7 linked regions of the Macaca fascicularis genome follow. Each later gene encodes a partner of the first gene's protein in a complex. Links are inferred from orthologs where the notes say so. Each region holds a gene or a part of one and is shown in the gene's direction. Other genes may lie near its edges. The genes, in order: COA1, TMEM186, SMIM20, TMEM126B, ACAD9, SURF1 and TIMM21.

Evidence for each region.
Region 2: COA1 (region 1) and TMEM186 share a complex: the UniProt entries of both Homo sapiens proteins name them as parts of the mitochondrial complex. The link is inferred for Macaca fascicularis from reciprocal best matches to the Homo sapiens genes COA1 and TMEM186.
Region 3: COA1 (region 1) and SMIM20 share a complex: the UniProt entries of both Homo sapiens proteins name them as parts of the MITRAC (mitochondrial translation regulation assembly intermediate of cytochrome c oxidase complex) complex. The link is inferred for Macaca fascicularis from reciprocal best matches to the Homo sapiens genes COA1 and SMIM20.
Region 4: COA1 (region 1) and TMEM126B share a complex: the UniProt entries of both Homo sapiens proteins name them as parts of the mitochondrial complex. The link is inferred for Macaca fascicularis from reciprocal best matches to the Homo sapiens genes COA1 and TMEM126B.
Region 5: COA1 (region 1) and ACAD9 share a complex: the UniProt entries of both Homo sapiens proteins name them as parts of the mitochondrial complex. The link is inferred for Macaca fascicularis from reciprocal best matches to the Homo sapiens genes COA1 and ACAD9.
Region 6: COA1 (region 1) and SURF1 share a complex: the UniProt entries of both Homo sapiens proteins name them as parts of the MITRAC (mitochondrial translation regulation assembly intermediate of cytochrome c oxidase complex) complex. The link is inferred for Macaca fascicularis from reciprocal best matches to the Homo sapiens genes COA1 and SURF1.
Region 7: COA1 (region 1) and TIMM21 share a complex: the UniProt entries of both Homo sapiens proteins name them as parts of the MITRAC (mitochondrial translation regulation assembly intermediate of cytochrome c oxidase complex) complex. The link is inferred for Macaca fascicularis from reciprocal best matches to the Homo sapiens genes COA1 and TIMM21.

Annotation. Positions count from the first base shown.
Region 1 is NC_088377.1:86,615,668-86,618,701, forward strand, and holds the end of COA1 (cytochrome c oxidase assembly factor 1 homolog), read left to right. Parts: intron 1-1,155; coding exon 1,156-1,232; intron 1,233-2,120; coding exon 2,121-2,220; 3' UTR 2,221-2,534; downstream 2,535-3,034. UniProt on the Homo sapiens protein: Component of the MITRAC (mitochondrial translation regulation assembly intermediate of cytochrome c oxidase complex) complex, that regulates cytochrome c oxidase assembly.
Region 2 is NC_088394.1:9,562,800-9,567,040, reverse strand, and holds TMEM186 (transmembrane protein 186), read left to right. Parts: upstream 1-1,441; 5' UTR 1,442-1,466; coding exon 1,467-1,469; exon of another isoform or gene 1,470-1,814; intron 1,815-2,495; coding exon 2,496-3,134; 3' UTR 3,135-3,901; downstream 3,902-4,241. Other genes in the region: PMM2 (phosphomannomutase 2), read right to left, coding at 1,133-1,198. UniProt on the Homo sapiens protein: As part of the MCIA complex, required for efficient assembly of the mitochondrial complex I.
Region 3 is NC_088379.1:25,047,341-25,051,420, forward strand, and holds the start of SMIM20 (small integral membrane protein 20), read left to right. Parts: upstream 1-1,280; 5' UTR 1,281-1,377; coding exon 1,378-1,486; intron 1,487-4,080.
Region 4 is NC_088388.1:84,674,325-84,676,487, forward strand, and holds part of TMEM126B (complex I assembly factor TMEM126B, mitochondrial), read left to right. Parts: intron 1-77; coding exon 78-199; intron 200-1,433; coding exon 1,434-1,627; intron 1,628-1,829; coding exon of another isoform or gene 1,830-1,871; exon of another isoform or gene 1,872-2,016; intron 2,017-2,163. UniProt on the Homo sapiens protein: As part of the MCIA complex, involved in the assembly of the mitochondrial complex I. Participates in constructing the membrane arm of complex I.
Region 5 is NC_088376.1:154,551,988-154,556,141, reverse strand, and holds the start of ACAD9 (complex I assembly factor ACAD9, mitochondrial), read left to right. Parts: upstream 1-1,354; 5' UTR 1,355-1,415; coding exon 1,416-1,565; intron 1,566-4,154. UniProt on the Homo sapiens protein: As part of the MCIA complex, primarily participates in the assembly of the mitochondrial complex I and therefore plays a role in oxidative phosphorylation.
Region 6 is NC_088389.1:6,019,001-6,023,098, forward strand, and holds the start of SURF1 (surfeit locus protein 1), read left to right. Parts: upstream 1-1,298; 5' UTR 1,299-1,323; coding exon 1,324-1,377; intron 1,378-1,462; coding exon 1,463-1,514; intron 1,515-3,142; coding exon 3,143-3,276; intron 3,277-3,358; coding exon 3,359-3,441; intron 3,442-4,098. Other genes in the region: SURF2 (surfeit locus protein 2), read right to left, coding at 212-278, 497-567, 761-915, 1,107-1,184. UniProt on the Homo sapiens protein: Component of the MITRAC (mitochondrial translation regulation assembly intermediate of cytochrome c oxidase complex) complex, that regulates cytochrome c oxidase assembly.
Region 7 is NC_088392.1:6,591,316-6,595,460, reverse strand, and holds the start of TIMM21 (mitochondrial import inner membrane translocase subunit Tim21), read left to right. Parts: upstream 1-1,345; 5' UTR 1,346-1,625; coding exon 1,626-1,926; intron 1,927-4,145. Other genes in the region: FBXO15 (F-box only protein 15), read right to left, coding at 495-610. UniProt on the Homo sapiens protein: Participates in the translocation of transit peptide-containing proteins across the mitochondrial inner membrane.

The DNA of each region.
Region 1 (3,034 bases):
TGTAATCAAACAAGTGCTTAGGGGCTGTCAGGCCGACTGCCTGGGCACGGGCATGGCAGCACCTGGCAGCACCCTGTGGTGCGAACCCAGCCTGTGGTGCTGGGGATGAAGGAGAAACCCAGGACTCCGTGTCGTCTTTCCCAGACAAGCCTTCATGTATTATATTTTCCTTAAAGCCTGTTCTTTAGGGTCCAGGTCAAAATATGTACCAATTTGCTGGCAATAGGTTCCTCTTTAAAACAGTGAATTTTCTTTTGGTATTTTATTATGAAAAATTTCAAATGTACAAAAAAGATAAAATAATTTATACTGTGAGCACCTATAGCTGGTACCTGGATTCTACAGTTAGCATTTTGCTCTGTTTCCATGAGTCTATAGTGTTATTTTGATGGATTACAAAGTAATTTTCAAACATTATACATGTAAGCACGTACATCATTAAGTGGAGTTTAATATTTGTTATGGTGCCTAGTTTTTTGGTTTTTTTTTTTTTTTGAGGTAAAATTTACAGTCTGTGAAAGGCACAAATCCAAGTGTCCTATCTCTGATGAGTTTTAACAAATACACCCAGTCGTGTCACTCAAGCCGTTATCTAGATGTAGATTGCTCCCAGCACCTGAATTCCCTCGTTTCCTACCCAGTGGGTTCCTTCTCACATCTTCCAGCTCTACCAGAGGCAGTCACTTTTCTTTTTTTTTTTTTTGATGTTTGAAAATTACTTTGTAATCCATCAAAATAACAGGTTTCCAGCATAGTTTAGCCTGTTGTAGAATTAAAATAAATAGTTATATACTCCTCCTGTGTAAAGCCCTTTGACTTGGCGTGTTTTTGATACTCATCCATGTTGCTGCGTGTGTCAGGAGTTTGCTCCTTTTTAACAGTGGACTTTTGAGCGATCATTGGAAGTAGGATCATAGGAGGCCTCCTTGCCAAATGCAGAGACTGCCATTGACCTTACCAGCCAACCAAAGAGGGGCAGGACATTTGGAAAATCAAGTGGATTCTCCAGCTGGGCTGTTAGAAAACAACTCACTTCTGTGGAGAATCACTGGATTTTATAGGCTTAGCTCTAGAAAGCATCATTTTGTCATCATCTTCTGAAATGACAATAATGTATCCAATTACATCTCTCCTTTCTGTCATTTTACACCACAGTTGAAGATTCCTGTCTCTGGATCCAAGTCAGAGGGCCTTCTCTACGTCCACTCCTCCAGAGGTGGCCCCTTTCAGAGGTATTCTGGGAAGGTGACGGCAGTCCGGGGGGTGGGAGGAGGACTTCCTGATGGAAGCAACCCCGACTCTGTTTTCATTTGTTGGTAAATTGCTGTGGGCATAGGAAGAACTGTTTTTCAAGCTTGAAGCTGAAAGCTTCGTGGCCTGGGCAGCAAGCCAGTACTGCGGCTCTTAGTTGAGTCCAGTTTATCCATACAGTCTACTGAATTGCCCTCTCCTTATGCCGTTGAATTCATAAAACTTTCCAGTTATAGTGATCTAGGTCTGTCATAATTTGATGCTATGTTACAGCTTCTCACTTCACTGCCTCGATTGTTACAAATGAATAAAGGGCATGGATTCTTGTTCCAGAATTTATTCATCACATTCTTTGCATAAGCTCTCCACCCCTTAATTGGCTTTGCTTGTCTGGTTGCCAGTAGCTACATCCACTCACTTCCCCCACGGGAAGCCTCTCTCATAGATGCTTGCTGTTTAGCCAGGCTGTGTTTTAATTCCCAAGGACAAAAGGAGCAGGCGGGCCCACCTAGCTCACCCTGGGCTCACTGACCTCTGAGCCTGGGATTAGTGCACGAGCTGACTGGATTCCATGCCAGGAACTGAAGGTCAGTGTGAATTAGGAAATGAGAAATAAACTGCTCCTTCTCCTTCCTGGTGTCCCTTCCATTCGCCTGTCATTGTTAAGCCTGCCTCGAAGTCGAAGCTGGTTAAATAATGAGAGCCCATGGTAGAATGTTACGAATTGTGTTGACACAGCACTCACACAAAATGTTTACAAAAATTTAAGGCATTATTCAAAACAACTGCTTTCTGCACCCCTTTTTTTGACTATGGCCGTTGCCTCAGTGTTCATAGATTAGAGATACTGTACTTCTGGTTTCTCTCAGGTGGCACCTTGACGAGGTCTTTTTAGAGCTCAAGGATGGTCAGCAGATTCCTGTGTTCAAGCTCAGTGGGGAAAACGGTGACGAAGTGAAAAAGGAGTAGAGACGACCCAGAAGACCCAGCAGACCCAGCGTGCTTCTAGTCCATCCTTCCCTCATCTCTACCATATGCCCACTGGGGTGGTGGCCCATCTGAGTGGCAGACACTCCTGCAACCCAGTTTTCCAGCCACCAGCGGGATGATTGTATGTGCCAGCACATGGTAATTTTGGTATAATTCCAACTTGGGCACAACGAATGCTATTTGTCATTTTTAAACTGAATCCGAAAGAAACCCCTATTACAAATTTAAGATAATTGATTTGAAAGTGCTTTGTATAAAAAAGCAAATGATAAAAGGAATCAGAATTAATGAAATGTTTGTTGATCTTTGCTGGTTCTCATTTCTTTCCTTTCTCTTCCTCTTCCTTTCCCCTGGAATTTTCAGTCTTCATTACAAAGCCTGAAGCTCAGTAGTACTGAAGGGATTTTTTCTAAATTATTGACATGAGAATGATGAGGAAGACCAGTTTGGTTTTTCACTGTACCTTGAATTCATGTTGTTAAGTAGCTTGTGGACATTCTCCATCACTTTGGAATATTTTGTTTGCATTTATTTCTATTTCAGATACCAGCCATCTGCCCAGTTGAAGATTTGCAAAATAATTTTTATTCCAAACATTTTGAAAGCTTAGAAAATTTGTGTGTGTACATATACACATAAAGTTAACTTAGGAAAGTTAGTTTGAAGGTAACAGCATCTGGCTGGGCGTGGTGGCTCATGCCTATAATCCCAGCACTTTGGGAGGCCGAGGCAGGTGGATCACCTGAGGTCAGGAGGCCTGGCCAACATGGTGAAATCTCGTCTCTACTGAAAA
Region 2 (4,241 bases), on another chromosome or scaffold:
TACAAAAAATGAATTGGGGACCGGAGTATTAGACCACTATGGGCTTTTAACAACCCCAAGTGTGTGATAGCTGAATTTCAGAATCAGAAAAAGCCTTTGAAGAACTTGGGAGTTGAGTGTCATCACTAGGTAGATCAAAACTGTGGCTGAGAAGGGCAAAATGATACGTCTAAGGTCACACGCATTTGACGTGGCTTTCTGGAGCACACCATAGTTACCACCAAGCGAAGACTACGAGGGGTGAGGATATTAGTTGAGGATAGTGAGACCATTGGGGTCCAGTCTCAAGTTGAAATGGCCGGTTGTCAGTGGCCAATTTCTGAAAAGGGGACAGGAAAGCCTCATCTCAAGGCTGATAGTGACTGAAACTTATCTGTGCCTGTAGCAGCAAAATCTGGAAGTGGAAAGCAAGTTTCCAAAGGCCCAAAGAGGCTCTCAGCGGGCAGCCTGTAATAACCTAGGGCTCCTCCATCTTCCTAGTCCACTGCAGGGGCTGGAGATGGGTGTGGTGGAGGTGGTTACTATTTACTGAGGCCTAGTGTGCTGTGTGCAACATACTTTCAAGAACTTACACAATCTCATTTGATCCTCACAGTCACCATATGGAACACGTAATATCCCCATTTAAAGCTGTAGATGCTGAGGCTCAGAAAGGTTAATGATTTGCTCAAGGTCACACAGCTGTGAAGAGGTGAAGATGAGACTCCACTAGGTCGATTTCACCTGGAAACCTGTTTTTAATATAATGACTCACGGCACAGCCCATTGGTTACAGGATTGAGGCCGGAAAACAGCTGATAAGGGGCACACAGCTGATGTCGGGTTCAAATCCTGGTCCATCGGTCCCGAGGACTAGCGGTGAGTCTAGATTGCATTTTCCAACCAAGCATAAGTTTCCTTCTCTTAAGAGTTCTTCAGCCCCGTCTCATCTTTCCAAGCATCAGAGCTCTTGAAGAGCTGGTTAGGGCCTCCCTCTCATCCCTCCAGGGCACCTAGAATAGGGTCCAGCCCCCGTGAGGACGCAGGCGGTCCTTAGCCAGCCCTTAGCGCCGACCCTGGGTAGTCGATAGCTCCAACTGGGAACAGCACGGACTCTGAGTCGGCTGCCACCAGCCCGCCGGGCGCCACTTACCTGCCGTGGGGCGGTGAGGGTCCCATCCACGTCGAAGAGGCAGAGCGCTGGGCCAGGCGCTGCCATGTCCCCAGCGTCTAACCGCACCTCGCAAGACTCGTTGACATCAGGAACTCGGCCCGGAACTTCCGAGTTCGGCCCCCGAGCCGCAGGGCACGTCGGGAAGAGGAGGAGACTCCGTTCCCACAACGCCTGGGACTAGCGCCAGCCACGATTCCTGGACCGCAAATCCCAGGGTGCAACGCGGATCACGCCCGCCTTGTACATTCGAGCATGCGCTCTTAGAGGTTCCGGGGGCCGGTGGGATTTACTTCCGGCAGCAGGCTGTGGAGCCATGGTAAGGAGGCTGGTGGCGATCCTTGAGGGGGTGATGCTCTTTGGGGGTCGGTCGGGGTCAGAGCTGGGGCAGGCAGGCACGACGCCTGAGTTTCGGACCTGAAGAATCCGTGGGAGGAAGCTCTGGCGTGGGTTACCATTCGCCATTCCCGGGCTTTCTCTGCCCTCCTTGCGTCACGTGCTCACAGTAGTAATAGCTAAAACTCGCCGAGCTCTCACAGCGCATCAGGTACTAAGTTGAGGGCTTTGAAACCATCTTCTCGTTCACTGTGTTCTGAGTCCCCATTTTGAAAGCCGAAGAAACCGAAGCTCAGGGGTGTGGAGTGATTTGCTCAAGAATCCACAGGTAGTGACTGATGGAGCCAGAATTGGAACCAGAGCTTTTACTGCTTCACTACCCACCTAATAATATGTTTGTGCTACGTGTAGGGGCCTCCCTGCCCCGCTCCTCCTCCTCCTCGTTGTTTCCCCTTCCCCTGACTAGGTTAAGGGAAAGCAGCAGTTCCCTCCAGCACCCAAGATAACGTAAACAGAATTAGAAAGTTTGTTGGGATAGCTGTCTCACAGATTTGTTGCTTGAGTTCCCCACTAAGACATTGATTATTCAGTTTCCTGCTTGGGGAAATGTTCACACCCCCTTGTGGATCCATTGTCCAGCCCAGAGTTGGGACTCCCTAGATATGTTTTGAATTATTGATGGCCGCACCTCCTTTCTTGTATTTCTTTGGAATTGCCTGATGGAAGGAGGACTCTGCTGCACTCACTGACTGTGTGTTCTTTGGTAAATATCTTACCCTCTCTGGGCTTAGTTTCCCTAGTGGTAAAGTGGAAATAGTGATAACTATCTTAGATAGCTGTTGTGATGCCCACATGAGATAACATCTGGCTTTACCCTTCCTTCCTCTGGCAATAATGGTGACCTTGCAGGATTGGCAGAAGCCTTCGAGTATGGTGCTTTGCAGATGTTCACCGTGTGATTAATGTGGTTGAATTCCATGAGAGAAATCGTCTACTGTCTCCCTTTCAGGCTGCCCTTCTCCGAGTTGTGCCTAGATTTCGGGGAAAAGCTGCGTGGGAAAGGCCTCTCCATGGGCTGTGGTGCTGCAGTGGGCAGGAGGATCCTAAGAGGTGGGTGGGGAGCAGGTCACCCACCTCGAAGGAGAAACCACCAAACCAAGAGACTGAGAAATTCTGGATGTTTTACCGTTTTGATGCCATCAGAATCTTTGGGTTCCTGTCTCGACTGAAGTTGGCACAGACTGCCCTGACAGTGGTAGTTTTGCCACCAGCCTGTTACTGGTATTCCCAGGGCCTCCTGACTCTCAACACCGTGTGCCTGATGAGTGGGATATCGGGCTTTGCCCTGACCATGCTTTGCTGGATGAGCTATTTCTTTCGGAGACTGGTTGGTATCCTGTATCTGAATGAGTCTGGCACCATGCTGCGGGTGGCCCATCTGAGCTTCTGGGGCTGGCGGCAGGACACATACTGTCCCCTGGCAGATGTGATTCCCCTGACAGAAACCAAGGACCAGCCTCAGGAGATGTTCATGCGTATCCAGCGGTACAGCGGGAAACAGACCTTCTACGTCACCCTGCGCTATGGACACATCCTGGACAGAGAGCGTTTCACGCAGGTGTTTGGGAGACATCAGATGTTCAAGTAAACAACTGGGGCCTGGGCCTCTGGGTAACCCTGGGTCACCTGGATTGATAGGAAGGCTGAGGGTGTGGGCACAGCTGAAGAAAGGGGATTGGGTACTTGGAGACTTTGCCTGGGCCCCTGGGAACGTGTGTTTTGTGATGAAGAAATTCACAAGGCAAGAGCTGGTGTCCAGATTTAGGAAAAAGGCTCTAAGCAAGTTCTTACAGCACTCGTTTGTGACATTCAGTCAGATAATGGCCAGAAGTTTTTGTTAAGAGCCAGTTCTTAGAAGAACCTATGCCAGGGTCACCCAGACAGTCCATTGGTGTGAAATTGAAAGGCAAAGAGGTGTGGTGGGGGAGCATAGGATTTGGAGTCAGAAGTCTCAGTTCTGTCACTTGTCCTGGGGTGGGTTATTGAGTCTCTTTGAACCGTGGTTTTCACATCTGTAAAATGGAAAGCCCTGCTTGTTTCATGGGATGGATGTGGGAATAAATGTCAAACGTGTGGCAGACTCAGCAGCCTAGAGCAGATAGCATTAAGCATTTGGTCAGAGGTTTTGGCATGGAGAAAGGCTTCGAGCAGTCAGCAGGGACTTCCAGAGCCCTGTGCTGTGCCCCTCACACATCCAGCAGCAGAAAGGTCTGCCAGGATGTTAACTACACATCGATGAGCAGCGATGTCATCCAAGTGAGCACGAAACCCCATTTGAGATTTGTTCACCACCCTGAGATCTAGAGGCTCTTGCTTTGGATGGCCCTGCAGTGTAATAAAGCCTAATGGACTGTATGCTGGTATGTTCTTTTATAAACTAAAGCCAGTTATATGCATTGCCTTGCATAATTAATAATACATGTTCGTTATGCAATTGGTAACACAGTAAAGAGGAAGGAAGGCATGATGATCTTTATTATTTTGCCACTCGAAAGTCAATAAGAATGTTTTATTGCCGGGCGCGGTGGCTCACACCTGTAATCCCAGCACTTTGGGAGGCTGAGGCGGGTGGATCACAAGGTCAGGAGATCGAGACCATCCTGGCTAATGGTGAAACCCCGTCTCCACTAAAAAATACACAAAAAAATTAGCCGAGTGTAGTGGCAGGCACCTGTAGTCCCAGCTACTCGGGAGG
Region 3 (4,080 bases), on another chromosome or scaffold:
TTATCTTTTTATGGATATGTTCTATCTCTTCATCTATGCGACAGGATCCTGGAGAGCAGGGGTCACATCTTATTCATCTTCGTGTCGCCTTAGCACTCTGCCTGGTGTTCGGGGCATGGCAGATAGTCCATGAATCTGGGGAGAGATTGGATAACTGATTTACATGCTTCTGGAGCCACAGAGGTAGACGGTAGCTTGATGCAACTACAAGATTACAAAGACAGAGGAAACCTGTCCTCTCCAAGCTATTTTGAAACGCTTGTAGATCTGTTGTGGCGTAAATAATGCTACTAGGGTCAAGATAGATATCCTCTTTGCTCCCCAGGCCCAGCTGCTGGCATGATTCCGGCTTATAAAGGCGTGGAGGCCCAAGGAATCTGGGTCTCAGCTGCGCAGTCTCCCTGTGCAAGTCACAGTCAGGCACAGCCCACCGGTAAGGGCAGTGAGGTGCAGAGGGCAGAGGATGGCAACTTGAGGAAGAGGAAACAGGTATCTGTCCTCAGTGGCCCCCACCCAGACAATACGGCAGTGCTCCGTGGCCCCATGGATGGAACCGGACGATGGCTCTCTGCCTTGGCCAAGGCATCCCAGCACAGGCAACAGGGAGAGAGGATGGGATGGAAAAAGAGAGTAGCTCGGATGCTGAAACGACGTTCCTCCTAGGCTAGTCTTGGTGCAGAAGCCCCGGGGCTCCGGTTTTAGAATCCCCCAGCAGGCCCTCTTGGGCCAGAGATTTGTCCCTTTGTCCCTCATACGTACAAACCTCCCTCAAGAAGGACGAGTGAGTGGTCCAAAGCCGCGCAGCGGAGCCGCGGTTCCCTCTCCTGTAAACTAAGCCGACTGATACAAGGATTAATTGCGCGAGCGACAGAGAGCATCCGGCGCACGGCGGACAGTCGCTAAATAAGAAATTAATGGGGGATGGACGAGAAAGCTGGCTGGTTAAGAAGGGGATGGTAAAGGAGGTCTGGAGGGTGCTGGGTGGAGGTGCTGAAGGAGGAACCGGGCCGAAGGAAGGAAAGCAGACAGAACAGGGCCCGCGGGAATCGAGCGCAGCAAAACAACTCCAACCTCAAACCAACGCCAGCACCGGGCCAACACAGCACGGAAGCCCGGGGAAGGTGGAGGGCGGGGTCCGAGGCTCCGCCTGTGACCCCACCCCTTTCATGCCCCCGCCCCTTCCAGTCATGAGGCCCCGCCTCTGACTCCACCCCTGTCTCGCTCCCCGCTTCGCCCCTCCTCCTCGTCCCTCCCCCAAGGCCCGGAAGCGAAAGCCTCTCAGCCTCTTCCGAGCGGGGTCACGGGCCGGCCGTCGGTAGCCAGGTTTCCGAGAGTGCGGGGCGGTCGGCGGGTCAGGGCAGCCCGGGGCGCAACGCCATGTCCCGGAACCTGCGCACCGCGCTCATTTTCGGCGGCTTCGTCTCCCTGATCGGCGCCGCCTTCTATCCCATCTACTTCCGACCCCTAATGAGATTGGAAGACTACAGTGAGTGATCTCTGACCCCGTGCGGTGACCTGACCCCCCCATACACACCTCCCCCTCCGTGAGCTCCACGTGGTGCCGTGGAAAGAACTTGGCTCGAGGGTTAGGGAGAGCCAGGTTCGAATCCTGCCATGTGCAGCTTTGTGACCGTGGACAAGTTGCTCAACCTCTGGGACCCTCAGTATCCTCATCTGTGAATATTAATAACTACATCATCTATAGTAAAGTGCCGAGCCTCCTGTGAGACTCAGGTGGTCATGTATATGAAAGCAGTCCTCTCAGAAGTCAACGCTAAGTACTAGTTCATATTTACAGTTAAAATTCACTGCATGCCTATTATACGTCAGGTTAGGCATATGTTGGATCGTTTCATTTGCACAAGCTCACCTTGAAGTATGTATGTAAAACATACCCATTTTACAAATAAGGGAACTGAGGCTCAGAGGTTTTATAACGTTCCCAAGGTCACACAGCAAGTGACAAGGCAAATATATCCTACCCCAGGCCGCTGTCCGGAGTCTTCTTGGAGCATTTAGGCTGGAAATGGTGACTGGGGGAGCCAGATGGAACCCTGATCCTCCTGAGCAGAAAGGTGCTTTTACTGCACTTCATTTCCACTCCCAAAGATGTTTTTTGAGCGGGACTGTTTCAAACCCAAATGTTAACCTGGGGCTTTTACTTTTTTCTCTTCTTTTTCCTCAAATTGTTTCTCCGATTCTGCTGGTTTCCTTCGTTTTAAGCCGGTTGCTCACATGTTAATGGTGAATATCCTGGGAGTAATTTTCCTTCTTAATCATTCCAGTCCTATCATTCTAAAAGCCAAACTCTTCTTCCTTGAGACCTATATCTCAGCAAGGATTAGCACTTTCATACATCTGAAACCATCTGTCAGAGAGAAAATATTAGGCATTAGAGGCTCATTTTTGTTCACCAGGAAACTCGAATCGTCTTGAAGATGGAAGAGGGCCAACCCTGCCCTTTGGGAATATTAACGGACACTGAAAGCTTGGCGAATTGAAGGCGAAAGCTCCGTGTAAACGTTCTGCCCATTGCAAATGTTACAGCAGTCGGTTTCTGGAGGCAGAGCGTTTTAAGTGCCCACTCAGATTTCCTTGTAGCTTCTTCTCATTAGCCAAGACTGAAATGGCCACTGTGTTCTGCCTTCCAGCTTATCTGCATGCACCATGTGTGGGAGTAAGGTGGGCTGTGTGATGCCCTGCGGGATCTGTTGCCACCATCCTTCTTCACCGGACGCCTGCCCCAGCGATTATATTAAGGCCACTAGAACTTGGGACAAAGGGTCTGCTTTGCATCCCATTGGAAAAGTCAGTTCTGAAAACTAGAGCTGTTGGTTCTTATCTAGGAGTGATTTTGTCCCTCAGGCTATTTGGCTCAATCTGGAGACATTTTTGCCTGTCACAGCTTGGGATGGGGGTGTCAAGTGTTGCTACTGGTTTCTTGTGGATAGACGCCAGGGATACTGCTAAACTTTTTGCAGTGCATACAAGACAGACCCCCATGACAAAGAATTACCCAGCTTAAAATTCGAGTGGTGCCTTGGTTGAGAAACCCTGCTTGAGGTGAGATGGTCAAGATGTGGGCGTGTACTGTGTATCCTAGTAACAGTCCTTTAGGGATACTCCAGAATCTGTGGTTGTCTGAATGTCTTGAGACAGACAAATCAGGTGATGTTCATCGGTGGGTGAACATTTAGTGAATGTAACTATAATATCTGCATGTTTAACTGGAAGGCAGTCTGTGCCTTCCCGCTTTTCTGGTCCTTTTTTTTTTTTTTTTCTTTTTTTCCGCTGTCACCCAGGGTGGAGTGCAGTGGCCTCATTTCAGCGCACTGCGGTCTCCTCCTCCCACGTTCAAGCAGTTCTCCTGCTTCAGCCTCCTGAGTAGCTGAAATTACAGGCGCCCACCACCATGCCCAACTAATTTTTGTATTTTTTAGTAGAGATGGGGTTTGGCCATGTTGGCCAGGCTGGTCTTGAACTCCTGACCTCAGGTGATCCACCTGCCTTGGCCTCCCTAAGTGTTGGGATTATAGGTGTGAGCCACCATTCCCAGCCTCTGGTTCCATTTTGATTAATTTGGCCAACTCTGTTCTGGGGATCATAACTGATTCTTTTTTCTGAGACAGAGTCTTGCTCTGTCACCCAGGCTGGAGTGCAGTGGCATGATCTTGGCTCGCTGCAACCTCTGCCTCCCGGGTTCAAGCAATTCTTGTGCCTCAGCCTCCCAAGTAGCTGGGAATCAGGTGTGCACCACCAGTCCTGGCTGATTTTTGTATTTTTAGTAGAGACAGGGTTCTGCTATGTTTGCCACATTGGTCTTAAGTGCTTCACCTCAAGCGATCTTTCTGCCTCAGCCTCCCAAAGTGGTAGTGTTACAAACTGACTGCTGTAACATTTGTAATGGGCAGAGTGTTTACACAGGGTTTTTGCCTTCAGTGCTGGCAACTGATTCTTTTAAACAGGTAAATATTGCTGAACAGGTAATATTTGTGGGAAGTTTACTGTATGTTTGGCACTCTTGTAAGCACTTCCTATGTATTAACCCATTTAGTGTTGGTAACAGCCCTTTGTGGCAGC
Region 4 (2,163 bases), on another chromosome or scaffold:
GAATCTGTAGAATTCTGTAAGGTTTTATGTAATATGAATATCATTAGCTATTATGGCTCTGGAATTTTTTTTTCCAGGATGTCAAGATGACAGCATCTATGCATGGTCAACCCAGTCCTTCTCTAGAAGATGCAAAACTCAGAAGACCAATGATCATAGAAATCATAGAAAAAAATTTTGACTATCTTAGAAAAGAAATGTAAGAGAAATACCCAGGCTGAAAATCATTTTATTTGCAAGTCTTTTGTATTGCCATTGTTTCTGAGATCCTATTCTTTGTTATCCTATTCTTTGAGTTGGTTATGAAGAACACATCCTTAAAAAAAAGAATGAGGGAAACAAGAACAGATGAAAATAGTGGTTTGTTGGAATATTTGGGATTGTGGATAATTTCTTTTGTTTCTTAAAAAGTATCCAAAAGTATTGCTAAAACATTTGTGCAGTAAATATATTTTAATTAAAAGTAAGAGAAAATCATTGGGGGGGTACTTATATTTAATTGGTGAGTAATTATAATCAGTTAAGGATTGATTATCTCAGCCACAGTACTTAGTACAGCAAAAGGGAATACAGATTTCATAGTATAAATATAGTCTCACATTAACATATTGACTTTTTTTTTTTTTTGAGATAAGAGTCTCACTCTGTCACCCAGGCTGGAGTGCAGTGGCACAATCTCGGCTCACTGTAATCTCCATCTCCCAGATTCAAGTGATTCTCCTGCCTCAGCCTCCCAAGTAGCTGAGATTACAGGCGTGTACCACCACACCCAGCTAATTTTTGTATTTTTAGTAGAGATGGTTTCACCATGTTGGCCAGACTGGCCATTTTGACTTTTAAATGAATGGAGTTCAAGAATAAAACCAAAGGACAGTTGATCTTATTTCCTGGATTTAGGTATGGGTCTTAATAAGAAAACTAGATCAGATTTTTTTGGATGAAATTTTCTAAATCTTGGACAAATTATTTTAAATGTATCTGGGACTAATGCAGAAATAGAAGGCCTAACCAAATGTAAATAGCTTTTTTTTAGCTGAACTTAAGCAAAGTAAATCTTTTAGTTGCAGGAAAGGTATTCTTCGATTTGGGTAACTCATAAAATTTGGCTACATTGGAGCATATTTATATTTATTTGTGACCAAAATTATTTAAAAGAGCTCTATTTTAGAACTACTGTAAATATTATCAGAAAGAGAATCATGTCCTCTCATTGGAATACAAGTTCTATGAGGGGTGGGAAATTTCTTTCCTTTTCTTTTTTTCTTTTGCCTTGTTTACTGCCCTATCTTAAGCACTTAGAAAATACTTTTCACATAGTAAGTGCTCAAGAAGTATTTCATATTGAGTAAATATGCAATAACAACTTTTTAGGAAAGGCTGTATCCATTAAGTTCAATGTTACAGTGAACTGAATTTTTCTTTTTTTCTATTAGGACACCAAATATATATCAAATGACGTCATTTGGAACAACAGCTGGTTTCTCTGGAATATTCTCAAACTTCCTGTTCAGACGCTGCTTCAAGGTTAAACACGATGCTTTGAAAACATATGCATCATTGGCTACACTTCCATTTTTGTCTACTGTAGTTACTTACAAGCTTCTTGTAATTGATCCTTTGTATTCAGGTGAATTTAAATTCACTAATGTATAATGTAGTTTTGTCTAAGTAAAGTTACTGATTAACATATGCTGTTGCTACTGCTAATAATAATTCTTTACATTTATATAGTGCTATACAGTTTGTAAAGTCCCTTCATATACCTTGTCGTATTTAATCCCTGCAACAATCCTCCTAATTAGGTAAATCGTATTTTTTTCTTTTTGTAGATAAGCAAGCAACCCAAACTGAGGCATGTTCAAGTACACTAATAAACAACATACTGGGAAAAGAATTGACTGTGGCATATAACAAACATCATTTCAGTATCCTACCTCCTGCCACTTAAGTTTTGTGACATTCAGCAAGTAATTTCATCTCTGAGCCTCCCTTGTCTTATCTATGAATTAGGGCTAATAGTACTCACCTCACAGGATTTTGTGAGAATTAAAAGATACTGTAGGTTAAATGACTACCACAATATCTGTCATATTATGGGCTTTTAATGTTATTTCCTGCCCTTCACCTTACCTTGAGTTTCACAACTAGTAATTGATAGAGCCT
Region 5 (4,154 bases), on another chromosome or scaffold:
CTGGCTCAACGAGTTCTGCAATCCCACCCAGGAATAGAAGACAGCAAGAAAAACTCACTTCGACCCCCTATCATTCCATCGCCAACCCGACCAATCAGCACCCTCCACTTCGAGTTCCTACTCGCCAAATTATCCTTAAAAATTCCGATTCGTGTTTTCGGGGAGACTGATTTGGCTATTAAAACTCCCTCTCCAGCACAGCTGGCTCTGCGTGAATTACTCTTTCTTATTGCCATTCCCCTGTCTTGATAAATCAGCTATCTAGTCAGCGGGCAAGTGGGCGGCTACAGCCTGGCCTGTCCCATCCCATCCAATAGTTCCCATCTCTTCTCAGCTCCCTCTGTAGTTTCTCTTCCTCCACCTGCCTTTTCAGTGTTTCCCAAGACAGAGGTGACTCAGTTTTGTTTTTTTTTTTTTTGAGACGGAGTCTCGCTCTGTCCCCAAGGCTGGAGTGCAGTGGCGCGATCTCGGCTCACTGCAAGCTCCGCCTCCCGGGTTCACGCCATTCTCCTGCCTCAGTCTCCCGAGTAACTGGGACTACAGGAGCCCGCCACCGCGCCCGGCTATTTTTTTGTATTTTTAATAGAGACGGGGTTTCACCGTGGTCTCGATCTCCTGACCCTGTGATCCGCCCGCCTCGGCCTCCCAAAGTGCCGGGATTACAGGCGTGAGCCACCGCGCCCGGCCGTGACTCAGTTTTATCCAGACCGCTCTGTGACTGAACACCCATTTTCTTTTCCTCTTCCAGAAAATTATTTGTCAACTAGGTACAAAACAGTATCTCAGGAATTCACCATCCAGTTAAAAATGGAACCTTATCCTTACCGTGCCCCTGCAGAGACCCCAATACCGCGCATTTCCCCCATTCTTTTGCTTTCCTCAAGTTTTACCACAGCCTCGCGGCCGCAAGTGACAAAAGAGGCAAGGGGAAGCAGCTGGGCCGGCCTTTAGGTTTCTGTACACAGGGAGATTTCCCATGGCTAGCATTTATGGAAACAACTGCTGGTATGTGAAAAACAGGTCCCTCACAGCCGTCACGACGGCCGGAGCTCATACCCGCCAACATGCCCGCGGCCCCGACCCTCCAATTTTCTCCGCCCAGCAACTCTGGCCGCGCAAGCACAGTGGGACCGGAGGGAAGCGTGGACACGTGACGTCATCAGTCAGCGCGGGCACGTGACGTCATCAGTCAGCGCGGACCAGCCAGGTGCACATGACTACGGCCTTGGCCGCGGAAGGTGGCAGCCGTCAAGCCCTTCTGGCCTCTCCATCCCCTGTTGCGGTAGACCGCGCAAGCGCAGTGAGTACTGCACAGCGTCGCGGGCCAGTAACGTCATCCGACGTTGCGGACCATGTGTGTGTCCCTGCTGCGCCAAGTAAGAAGTGGAGCCTGAGGCCGGGGAACAGCGGGCGGCATGAGCTGGTGCAGGCTCTTCTTGCGTACCACGGCTGCGGCTCGTGCCTGCCGGGGTCTGGTGGTCTCTACCGCGAACCGGCGGCTACTGCGCACCAGCCCGCCTATACGAGCTTTCGCCAAAGAGCTTTTCCTGGGCAAAATCAAGAAGGTAACGCGAGCCCTGGGCGAATCCTTGCTGTCTGGCTCCCGCTTTTCATCCTCAGCTGCAAGATTGGTGTTCAGCTTTGTCGGATTCCCCAAACCTGCCAGAGAGACACACCCTGCAGGCGAGGCGTGTTAACACTCTGGATTCCTGAGTTCCAGGAAAACCTTCCCAGAGAAAGGGTGGGACATTTCCTAGACGGGGGACCCTTGGAAGTGTAAATTTTGTCAGAATTTGGAAAACTCTAGGCTAGGTAATTTACAAAGCAGCCTTCATCTCAGCTGGTCTGGTCTGGAAATGTGCGGGGCTTCCTCTCTTATTCCTAAACAGTTTAGACCGTGTCCCTCCTCAGTCACCTTCCAGCGCCCTGGGGCTTCCTTCCCCAGTTGAGCCGTAGCGCCTCTCCCAGCCATTGAGGTTCCTCAGAAATCTGGCTCCAAGATGCTTCCCGGGCGTCGCACAACCCTGCCAGTAGTAACAGTTTGGTTATAAAACACTCATTGTCCTCTTAGAGTTGGAAGACGGGTTTGGTCTTGGCTCGTTGACTTTGAAACTCAGTTCTTTTTTTTGAGACAGAGTCTTGCTCTTGTCGCCCAGGCTGGAGTACTCACTACAACCTCCGCCTCCTGGGTTCAAGCGATTCTCCTGCCTCAGCCTCCGGAGTAGCTGGGATTACAGGCGCCCGCCACCATGCCCGGTTTTTTTTTTTTTTTTGTATTTTTAGCAGAGATGGAGTTTCACCGTGTTGGCAAAGCTGGTCTCGAACTCCTGATCTCAGGTGGTCCACCCGCCTCGGCTTTCCAAAGTACTAGGATTACAGGCGTGAGCCACCACTCCCGGCCGAGACTCAGTTCTTTCAGCCTTAAAATGGAGATAGTGTTGTGTCTCCTTCACAGAGGTGTTGTAGAGCCCCAGTGAGATAAATGGTGCATGGAGAGTCGTCTTAAACTGTAGAGTACTGTGCAGAAGAAGAGAGAACTGGCTTCAACACTTACTAGTCTTGTGACCTTGGAGCTGATGGTTTCACCTCCCTGTGCCTCAGTGCCTTCATCTACAAAATAGGAATAAACACATTTCTTGCTTTTTCCTTTGTGTTTTATTTTATCTTCTAAGGAAAGCAACAGTATACTTGCTATTTCCTCGAGGTGCCCTGCTTTGAGCTTGGCTGAATGTTGGCTGATCCTCTATCACGGAAGTTATTCCCTGGCTTCTCTTTGGAACATTCCTCTGAGGTTGTCAGGCTGATCCCTTTATAGCAAGCAACCTTATTGATGCAGAAGCTAAGACTCAGACTAAAAGCAGTTTGCCCGGCTAGAAGGTGCAGAGCTATGTCTTTGACATATGGGAAACCCTTTTACCCAGGACCTGGGGCAGTGTGGTGCTCTATCCTGGGACCTCCTGCTTTCCAGCAGCATGGTGAAGAAAGAACACAAATCCTTCAGATCTGTTTCCATCATAAACCTTTGGCACCACCTGCCCTGCCCTTACTCTCAGCTGTCAGCTTTGCTTCCCGTTCCACTGAGAAAATCCATGCAGTCAGATGAGAACTTCACAGGCATAGTTACCCCCTCCCCCTGCATGTGCCCATATTATCTACATTCTGTTACTATGACTGAACTGTCTGCTTCTGGCAAAACCAACCTCTCATTAGACCCCAGGCCTTCTCACCTACTCAAGGGTAATTCTTTCCTTTCTCGGAATCATTAACTGTTCTCTCTACTGGATCTTGAGACCTTACCATTCAGACGTTTGTCCCTAATGGCCATGGAAGTCAGTAGTGACCTCTCTGTTGTCAAATCGTGTGATCTGTTCTCAGACCTCATCCTACTTGGCCCATCATTGGCATCTGACGCTGTTCGTTCTTCTACCCTGTTGACACACTTTCTTCTCTAGTTTCTGAATCACTATTCTCATCGTTCTCTGAATGTTCTAAATACTTCACTGACTGATACTTCTCTGTGTCAATTGCTAGTTCTTTTTTAGCTCCTTTACTGCTAAACAATGACCAGTGTTTCCAACTAGCCAAGTTGGAATTTACTAAGGCTGGGTCTGTGGATGTCTTTTCATCTACAACCATCTCCTGGGTGACCTTATTTAGTGTCCTGGCTTTAAATATCATCAATATCCTGATGCCTCAAATTTCTTTTTCCAGTTCAGATTTCTCCCTGAGCTCCAGATTCCTTTTGCTTTTTCAGAGTTGGGGCCTTCCTCTGTCACCCGGGCTGGAGTGCAGTGGTACCATCATAGCTCACTGCAACCTTGAACTCCTAGGCTCAAGAGATCCTCCCACCTCAGCATCCCCAGTAGCTGGGACTAGGCACGCCCTGCCACACCCAGCCAAGGTCCTTTTTTAAATCTACCTTTGTACTCAAAAGCTCTGCTAAGAGGTTTCACAGGCGTTTGAGATTAATAGATCCAAAACTGAGTTCCTGGTTCCCACCCAATCCTGGTCCTTCCACCAGCCTTCTTTTATCATAGATAATGGTGGCTCTGTTGTTCCACCTGTTCAGACAGAACACCTGGCGTCACCTTGTACTCTTATTCTCCTAGTTCACGTCTAATTCCACAGAAGATCTGGTTTTCTCTACTTTGAGG
Region 6 (4,098 bases), on another chromosome or scaffold:
CTACAGAGCAGAGAAACCAAGTTTGTAGGGATAGTTCACAGCAAGGATTCAGACTGGTGGCTGTGTCTTGGACTCATCCCTGGACGGTCTACCGGGGACGGTGTACCATGCGGCTTGGGCATAGGGCTTTTAAAGGCTCCCGGAGCAATTCCACTCTGAAGCTGGGCAGGGAACCGCTGACCCAGGCCAACTGCAGCCTCTTAATGTTTACCGGAAAAGTAGGCATGGCAGCCTCGCTGACTGCTCCAAGATGAGTTCACGCAAGAGGACGACTCCACCTGGCCAAGTGCTCAATGAATGGAAAGATCCCATCTCTGTTTTGACGATTATTACCAACCCTAGTTCCCAGGTAAATCAAAGATCCCTTCTGGGGTCAACAGGAGAACCCAACGCTGTTCACAACCTCAGGTGACAAAGCACAAGCCTCTACTCCTCTGTGAAGCAGCCACACCCCACAAGACAAACCTCAGGTTTACCGAAAAGCAAACGAGCTCACCGAGAGGCCTCGCCAGGATCGCAGGTGACTCCAGCACCCGGGCGACCACCTGGATCCCAGGGCTCCCAACTCTGAAAGAGTGGGAGCTGCAGCACTGGCGGAGTCCTCAGGAGGAGGGAACTTTGGGGTTTACCACCCAGGACCTGTCCTCAGCCGAGCCCTCCCGGGAACCTCCCTTAGAGGGGGTTCAGGCACCGGGGGGGCACCAGCGGAGGGGCTGTCCTAATTGCCCTGGGCCTCCCCACGCCGCCGCGGACCACCTACGGGTTCTTGGTGCTGGGCACGATGTGCGGCTCGAACTCTGCAAAGTCGAAGGCCGGGGAGGCGCGGACCAGCCGCTGGTACTTTTTGCCGCGGGTGTACACCTGGAGCTCCGGCAGGCGGCAGGGCAGCTCATGACCAGTCAAGATGCACCTCACCTGCTGACGCACGGGCAGGCGGTCAGGAGGGCCGGGGCTCCTGTCACTCCCGCTCCCCGGTGCCCCCTCCTGCGGCGCCCCCTTCCTTCCCCTCCCCTGACCTCGCCGCGTCCTTTCTCCCGCCCTCCCCTCAGCCCCTCATCCCAACTGCGCCCTTCTCCACCACTCCATTCCCCTCCCGCGCCGCGAACCTTGCGGGCGTCCGGCTGGAGCCGCAGGCTCGGGTGCTCGCGCAGGAAGGCCTCCACGTCGGCCGGCAACTCGCTCATGGCCGAGGCGCCCGCAGACCACCCCGGCGGAAGCAGCTCCCAGAACTTGGGGCCGGGAGCGGGGCTCTGGGCGGGACTCGGCGGCGACCCGGAAGCAGATGCCTCCTGCGTCCCGGAAGAGCCCGCGGGGCCGGGTGCGATGGCGGCGGTGGCTGCGCTGCAGCTGGGGCTGCGGGCGGCGGGGCTGGGACGGGTGAGCGCGGGGCGCCGGGGACGAGAGGGCGGTACGGGGCGAGGGGAGGGGTCCCGGAGCTCAGCCCGCCCGTCCGTGTCCGCAGGCCCCTGCCAGCGCCGCCTGGAGGAGCGTCCTCGGGATGTCCCCGCGCCCAGGTGAGGGCCGCAGGCCAGGCGGTGATCTAGGCGCATGGGCAGAGCCACCTGCTGTCTGCCCTGCGCTTTGAAGGAGTGTCGTGGGGATTGAAATGAGCCAACTGCCGGCTGAGCGGAGGTTCCCTGGGAGTGACAAGTTCCATATTAAAATGCTTTCAGTGGAACTGTGGTCGTGTGCCGGGCATGTAGCGAGCGCTTTGTCCTCACAACAACGCGAGGGGTAGCTCCTTGGTCGTTCCTATGTTACAGAGAAGGCTCGAGAATTACTTTCTAACGTCACATCCAGCTAATGGGTGGCCAGCCCAGGCTGAAAGCCCAGGGCTCTGAAAGTAAAGCGCATCTAAACACTGCGGCTTACGTGTTCCTCTCAGTGTGCAGCACAGGTTATTTTGCCATGTGTAGAGTGCTGTGCAAGCCTGCCGCAGACCTGCGTTTTTTTTTTTTTTTTTTTGAGACGGAGTCTCGCGCTGTTGCCCAGGCTAGAGTGCAGTGGAGCTATCCCGGCTCACTGCAAGCTCCGCCTCCCAGGTTCACGCCATTCTCCTGCCTCAGCCTCCCGAGTCGCTGGGACTACAGGCGCCCGTCACCACACCCAGCTAATTTTGTGTGTGTGTATTTTTAGTAGAGACGGGGTTTCACCGTGTTAGTCAGGATGGTCTCGATCTCCTGACCTCGTGCTCCGCCCGCCTCGGCCTCCCAAAGTGCTGGGATTACAGGTGTGAGCCACCGCGCCCGTCCTTTTTTTTTTTTTTTTTTAATAAATAGTATCGGCAAGGTCGCTGGTGCTTTTCAGCGGATGGGACTCACCCTCTGAGAGCTTAAAGGCACCTTCTGTGTACATTCTTCCATCTTCACATTTACGATGAGTTGTAAAAATGGAAAGCTGTTAAGAGAGCTCTGTGAGCCATTACTCTGAGCTGACATGTTTCTCTACATAACACAATAACCACTAGTGCCTGGTTAAGCTACTTAGTAACTGTAGCTGCTTATTTTTTGTTTTTTATTTTTTGAGACAGGTTCGCTCTAATTGCCCAGGCTGGAGTGCAGTGGAACAATCTGCTCACGGCAACCACCTCCTCCCAGATTCAAGCGATTTTCCTGCTTCAGCCTCCCGAGTAGTTGGGATTACAGGCATGTGCCACCATGCCAGGCTGATTTTTGTATTTTTAGTAGAGACAGGGTTTTCCCATATTGGTCAGGCTGGTCTCAAACTCCCGACCTTGTGATCTGCCCGCCTTGGCCTCCCAAAGTGCTGGGATTATGGGCGTGAGCCACCACGCCCGGCCAACTGTAGCTATTTATTAAATGCATTTTGAATGGATGAATGGTGCATCTTAGCGCAGTGGAATACATCTATATTCTTGAGTAAAAAGGCATGAGTTACCCAGGGTCGTGGTTGGTGGCCAAGCCAGCACTGAGCCCTAGATCTCACTCAGTTGGCAAACATACTCAGTGTGTGCCATGTCCTGGGCACTGGGTTAGGAGCTGGGCTGTGTACAGGTGCTGCTAGTTGGCTCTAGGAAGCAGGTTTTGATTGGTAGTACTGGAGTCTATCTTGGAACTGGCTGCTCCAGGTTATCTGTTCAAGGGCTCCTGGCCCCATGTCAGTGTTGTGAAACTTTCTCCAGGGGTGGCCTGGAGGCCAAGCAGATGTGGCAGTTCTGCAGCAGAAGCATCTGCCACAAAAGCGGAAGATGACTCCTTTCTTCAGTGGGTCCTGCTCCTCATCCCTGTGACTGCCTTTGGCTTGGGGACATGGCAGGTAAAGACTGGCATCTGGTGTGCATAACTCTGGGCCCTTGACCCTGCTGCCATCTGCTTGGGCTTATGCTCTGTCACTGCAGGTCCAACGTCGGAAGTGGAAGCTGAACCTGATTGCAGAGTTGGAGTCTCGAGTTCTGGCTGAGCCTGTCCCTCTGCCAGCAGAGTGAGTATGTGGCTGCCCCCCAGGGCCAGTCTCACTTGAGTTCAACAGCAGAGCCCTGGCTTCTGCTGGCCAGCCTGCCCCTTTTGGCGGGACTTTTAGTCACTGCCTTGACCTCAGGTGGAGCTCTCATCAGTCATCCTGTTGGGCTTGCTCTTGACACGTGACTGCCCTTGTGAAGCTACCTGAGGCCACCTCCTGACATATGGAGGAAAGTCTTACTTTGCATCCTGGGTGTCACCCTTTTTTCAGGTGTAGTGAACTTATCCTCCACAGGGCCCAAGGCTCTGTGGCTGAGGACAGATAATGTAGGTCTCACTGTGAGGGTGGTCTTTTGAAAAAGTGCCCTAAATGATTTGTCTGCTCTCTCCCTAGAATATGCCCTACAGAGACAGGTATATTCAACCACATTTGCCATTCAGAGTAGCAAACAGTATGCCAGATTTGGCTTGCAGGTGGGATTTTGGCCCACATATTTTTTTAAAATTTCACATATTCATTGAGGAGTCCAGATTTTTAGCTTCTCTTGTAAAGCTGGACTCTGGCAGTGCAGATCCCCATTCCCACATGGCATGAGGGCCACTTCCCCTTTAGAGCGCATGCCCTTTGCCTTTCTCCTTTACTTGTCTGGCCCTGGTGGGCTGTGTAGTCTGCCACCCT
Region 7 (4,145 bases), on another chromosome or scaffold:
CCCTACCCGCCAGACCAACCTGCCTGCCAGAGGTATCTGCTTGGGGGATGAGGGTGTAAATTTATAAGGTTTTGATGAGCAGACTCTACTTCCCTAAGTTGTAAGGTCATGAAAAAGACGAAGGGAGATTCTTGGTCACAGAAGAGCAAAAATACGAAGGCAGGGGCGGGGCACACGTGAATCTATGGCACGCACCCCGGAGAAGCACCTCTTGGACCGGCAGCTGTCGTGGCAAGTGAGCGTAACCCCGACCACAGGCGCCGCGAGAAAAAATATTTCCCCGAGAGGCTACTCTACTTGTGTTATAACTTAGGGAACCCCACATTGCAGGGTAGAAAGGATTTCCTCCGGTCGTTCTTCCAGACCCTTCTCACGTTGAAGAGGGCCGCGGGCGTTGTGCCAAGCTGGACGAATAAAATACACGGTGGAGAGAGTGGGGCCGCGCAGTGAGGGGCTTCCCGCCAGCGGACCCCACCCGCAGGCCCTACAGTCACCTGAACCCAAAGGTCCTGGCGCGCCCCCGGGCCGCGCCACCTCCCCTGCTGGGCCCGCGCAGCGTCTGGAGGCCGAGCCAGTGCTGCTGCAAGATCCGACCGCGTCCAGTCGCCATGGAGACGAGTTCACCATAGACCCGCTCAAGGGCGGAAACTAGGAGGGCACGCACCGCCCCCACGCCCGCGCGTCGCCACACCCCCTTACGCCCATGCGCAAGTTCACAAAAGTACCGCTGGCCTGGCGCGTGCGCAGACGGCACCGCGCCAGACAGCCGCTCGCAAAGCGGGCTTCTAGAAACTTCCGGGCCCCAGCTTCTTTCCCCACCCCTACATTCTGCCACCAAGGGCGCTAAGCAAGTCCTCGGCTTAACCATTTAGGAAACCGGTGCCTGCTTTGCAGCGGCCTCGTTCATCTCCACTTGCTGACTCTTTTTTGTCCGGCTTTTCTGAAAACACAGTGAAATGCAAAAACGAAATCATTTGCCCACGCGGAATAGAGAAGACCACAGTCAGAGGGAGTACTTCCCACTGTGCACAGTCCACTCTAGAAGGATAAGGAAAACACGTAGTGTGTAACTGCTAATTTGGCTTTTGCAAGTCCCGCTTGAATTACGTAGGGTCTGTGGTACCAATTACCCCACCAACTCCCCGCCTTCCCGCCTCTCCAAGGACGCGCAGCGTCTGCGCAGGCGCTGGGCACGGAAGCGCCTGGGGGCGCGGGAACGGCCTGCGCCGTGCTCTGGCCGCCTTGAATTGTGGGAGATGTAGTCTCTTGTGCGCGCCCCATTGCCGCATCCCAGTTAAGAGCGAGGTCTTCAAACTACTATTCCCAGGAAGACGGGGGGTTTCCCAGGTGACTTTGCGAAGACATGGCGGGGACACTGTGAATGTCAGCCCAGAAGGTAATCAGAGCGTGTTGATTCAAAGAAAACAGAAGGGAAGGTAGACAGCAGGTTCTCCCTGGAGATTTTTCGTTTTCATTTACGCTGCTGAAGCCAACGTTTTTGCCTAACACGCCATGTAATGTAAACGTATAGGTTTGAGTACGTGTCCGGCCAGATGTGTAGTGAACCCGAAAACTTTCCTAATTGTAGTTAGCATCGTCCCTAAGCGGAACGATTTTCTGTGAACATGATTTGTACTTTTCTACGAGCCATACAGTATACGGAGAAGCTGCACAGGTCCTCGGCAAAGCGATTGCTTTTGCCCCACATTGTGCTTAACAAAGCGTGCTTGAAGACTGAGCCCAGTTTGAGATGGGGGCTTCAATATCAAAAGAAAACAGTGCGACCTAGATGTATTCTTGGAGTCACTCAGAAAACCATCTGGACGCAGGGACCGAGCCCCCGGAAAGCAAAGGAGGGTAGCAGCAAACAAGTGTCTGTACACAGGAGTCAAAGAGAGGGAACCGCCGTCCCAACATCACAAAAAGGTAAAAAGGAGTACTTCAATGATTGGTCTTTCAACAGACGTGACAAGAGCTGCCAATGCTCTTTTACACCAAGTTCACTACTAAAGGTGAAAAAGCAATTAACATGAATTTTTAAAAGCCGTTTAAACATAATTTAGAGCTAGAACATATAGACCTACAGTTTTCTTCACAGATTGGAACTCAGATTTGAAAGTTGATCTTGAATTTGATATAACTTTCTTTCGTTATGTTTGGGAAATTTTTCTCAAGTTGTATTGGCTCTGTTACATATAATAAAGAGTAATTGGATAGGATAAAAAGAGAGAGAGAGCTTATTGACTCATAATCAATAGGGAAAACTTTCGTATGTTACCTGCAATAATAGAAAAACATAAACTAGGGAGGATGGAATGTAATTTGTCAGGGAAAGTCAGAGATATGTTCACAGATATTTTAAGATTTTTTTTTAATTTCTTCATTTCGCATGTGATTTGTAGGAAAAAAAGGACAAAGCAATTTAGACCCCATGATTATACCACACAAAGATGACTATTTTTAACATTTTGCACTTTCATACACATACCTTTTAATAATTTTTAACCCAAAAAATTGAATCATATTCTACCAATTGTTTTGTAATCTGCTGAATATGCCAAAAACCTAGTTTTTCATTTGTAATAGTTCAGCACGAAGGAACAATCCGTATGCAGAGGTGAAAGGCATAGAAGTGGCAAACAGCATGTGTGTCAGGTAATCTGGCTCAGGCAACAGTGCTGCTGCTTGCACTGCATGCCAGGCCTGCTTAGGGACCCCTTCCCTGATCTGCACCCCATTCAGAGGTGACAGTCCTTGTTGCTGAATGAATGGATGGGAGCAACATTCCCAAATATGGAATATGCTGTGTCCAGAATTCAAAGAAACATTGTGGTAGTAGGTATAGGGTACAATTGTCTTTTACTTGGGAGGGCATGTCCTGGCACACCCCAGTGTAGCCCCATGAGGTCAGCTCATGTGTTGGTGAGCCTCTGCATCTTTGTTGGGCCCACCTCTCACACTTGCAGCTTGTCTGACCAAGCCTTCTAACACACTTGCCACTTGTTACTTCTGGGCTCTAACACGATAGTGTAAACATAGTAGACAAATGTGATATTCTGCTGAATGTCCAGAACAGCATTATTCAAATAAAACTTTCTGCAGTCATAGAAATGTCCTATATTTATGGTGTCCATTTGGGTAGTTCCTGGCCACTTGTAGCTATTTTGAGCACTTGAAATGTTGCTAAATTATGTTACTGAAGAACTGAATTTTAATTAATTTAAAATTGAACTGAAATACCCATGAGTGGTGAGTGGCTACTGTATTAGACAGCCCAGATCCAGAAAGTTTCACTCCCTTAAGACTGTAACAACAGAGGGTGAGAGAATTAGCAAATCCTGGTCAGGATCATAAACATACACTGTTATTATCTGTTTCATGTTACTACACACTACTCCTGCTGCTGCTTCTGAATAGAAGGCATTCTTCAAATCAATGGCCAATACCATGAGATTGTGTTAATGCACTGCCGTGTAAAGTTACCATGTGTGGTATTGCATGTGTACCCCGGCTGCCACTTGGTTAAGTTTGCAGTTAACCACTGTCATTCTCCAGCGCCTATTTGTGTTTTGTAAAGGAAGACTGGTAAATTACAAGGGACTGTGATAGGGGCCACCATGCCTGTATCTAAGGTCTCTAAGAATTGCACTCTTTCTGCCATTCCCCATGGATGTGATACCATTTTTAATTTATTACCTTGGTCACTGGGGCAGTTTCAGAGGCTTCCATTTGACTTTTCCCACTCTGATAGCTCTTAACCCACTTCCAAAGGAACTAAAGTGGGAGTTATTGTTGCCAATTACTCAGTACATCCCCTTGATTTATACATTTGGAAATCAAGGAAATTATTACCAGATAAGTCCCTGGACCCAGCTGTGAGCTTCTTACATGCTGTCGGGGGGGTGGGGGGTGGTCGGGGGGTCATCATGACTCTTTGGGTCCTTGGATATCACTGTCAGCACAGACTATGTCCAAGTTGATAACTATAGGTCCTTTTGGTGAAGGACCGGGGTAGTCAGTCACATACACTTTCCTTCAGTAAATGGGTTCCAGGTCTGAAAACTGGTTCAGGTCCAGAAACCGGGGCAATGTTCAGAGCTTTGCATTAGAGCAACTGCCTTCAGCCTCAGGAGTCATCTGAGGTT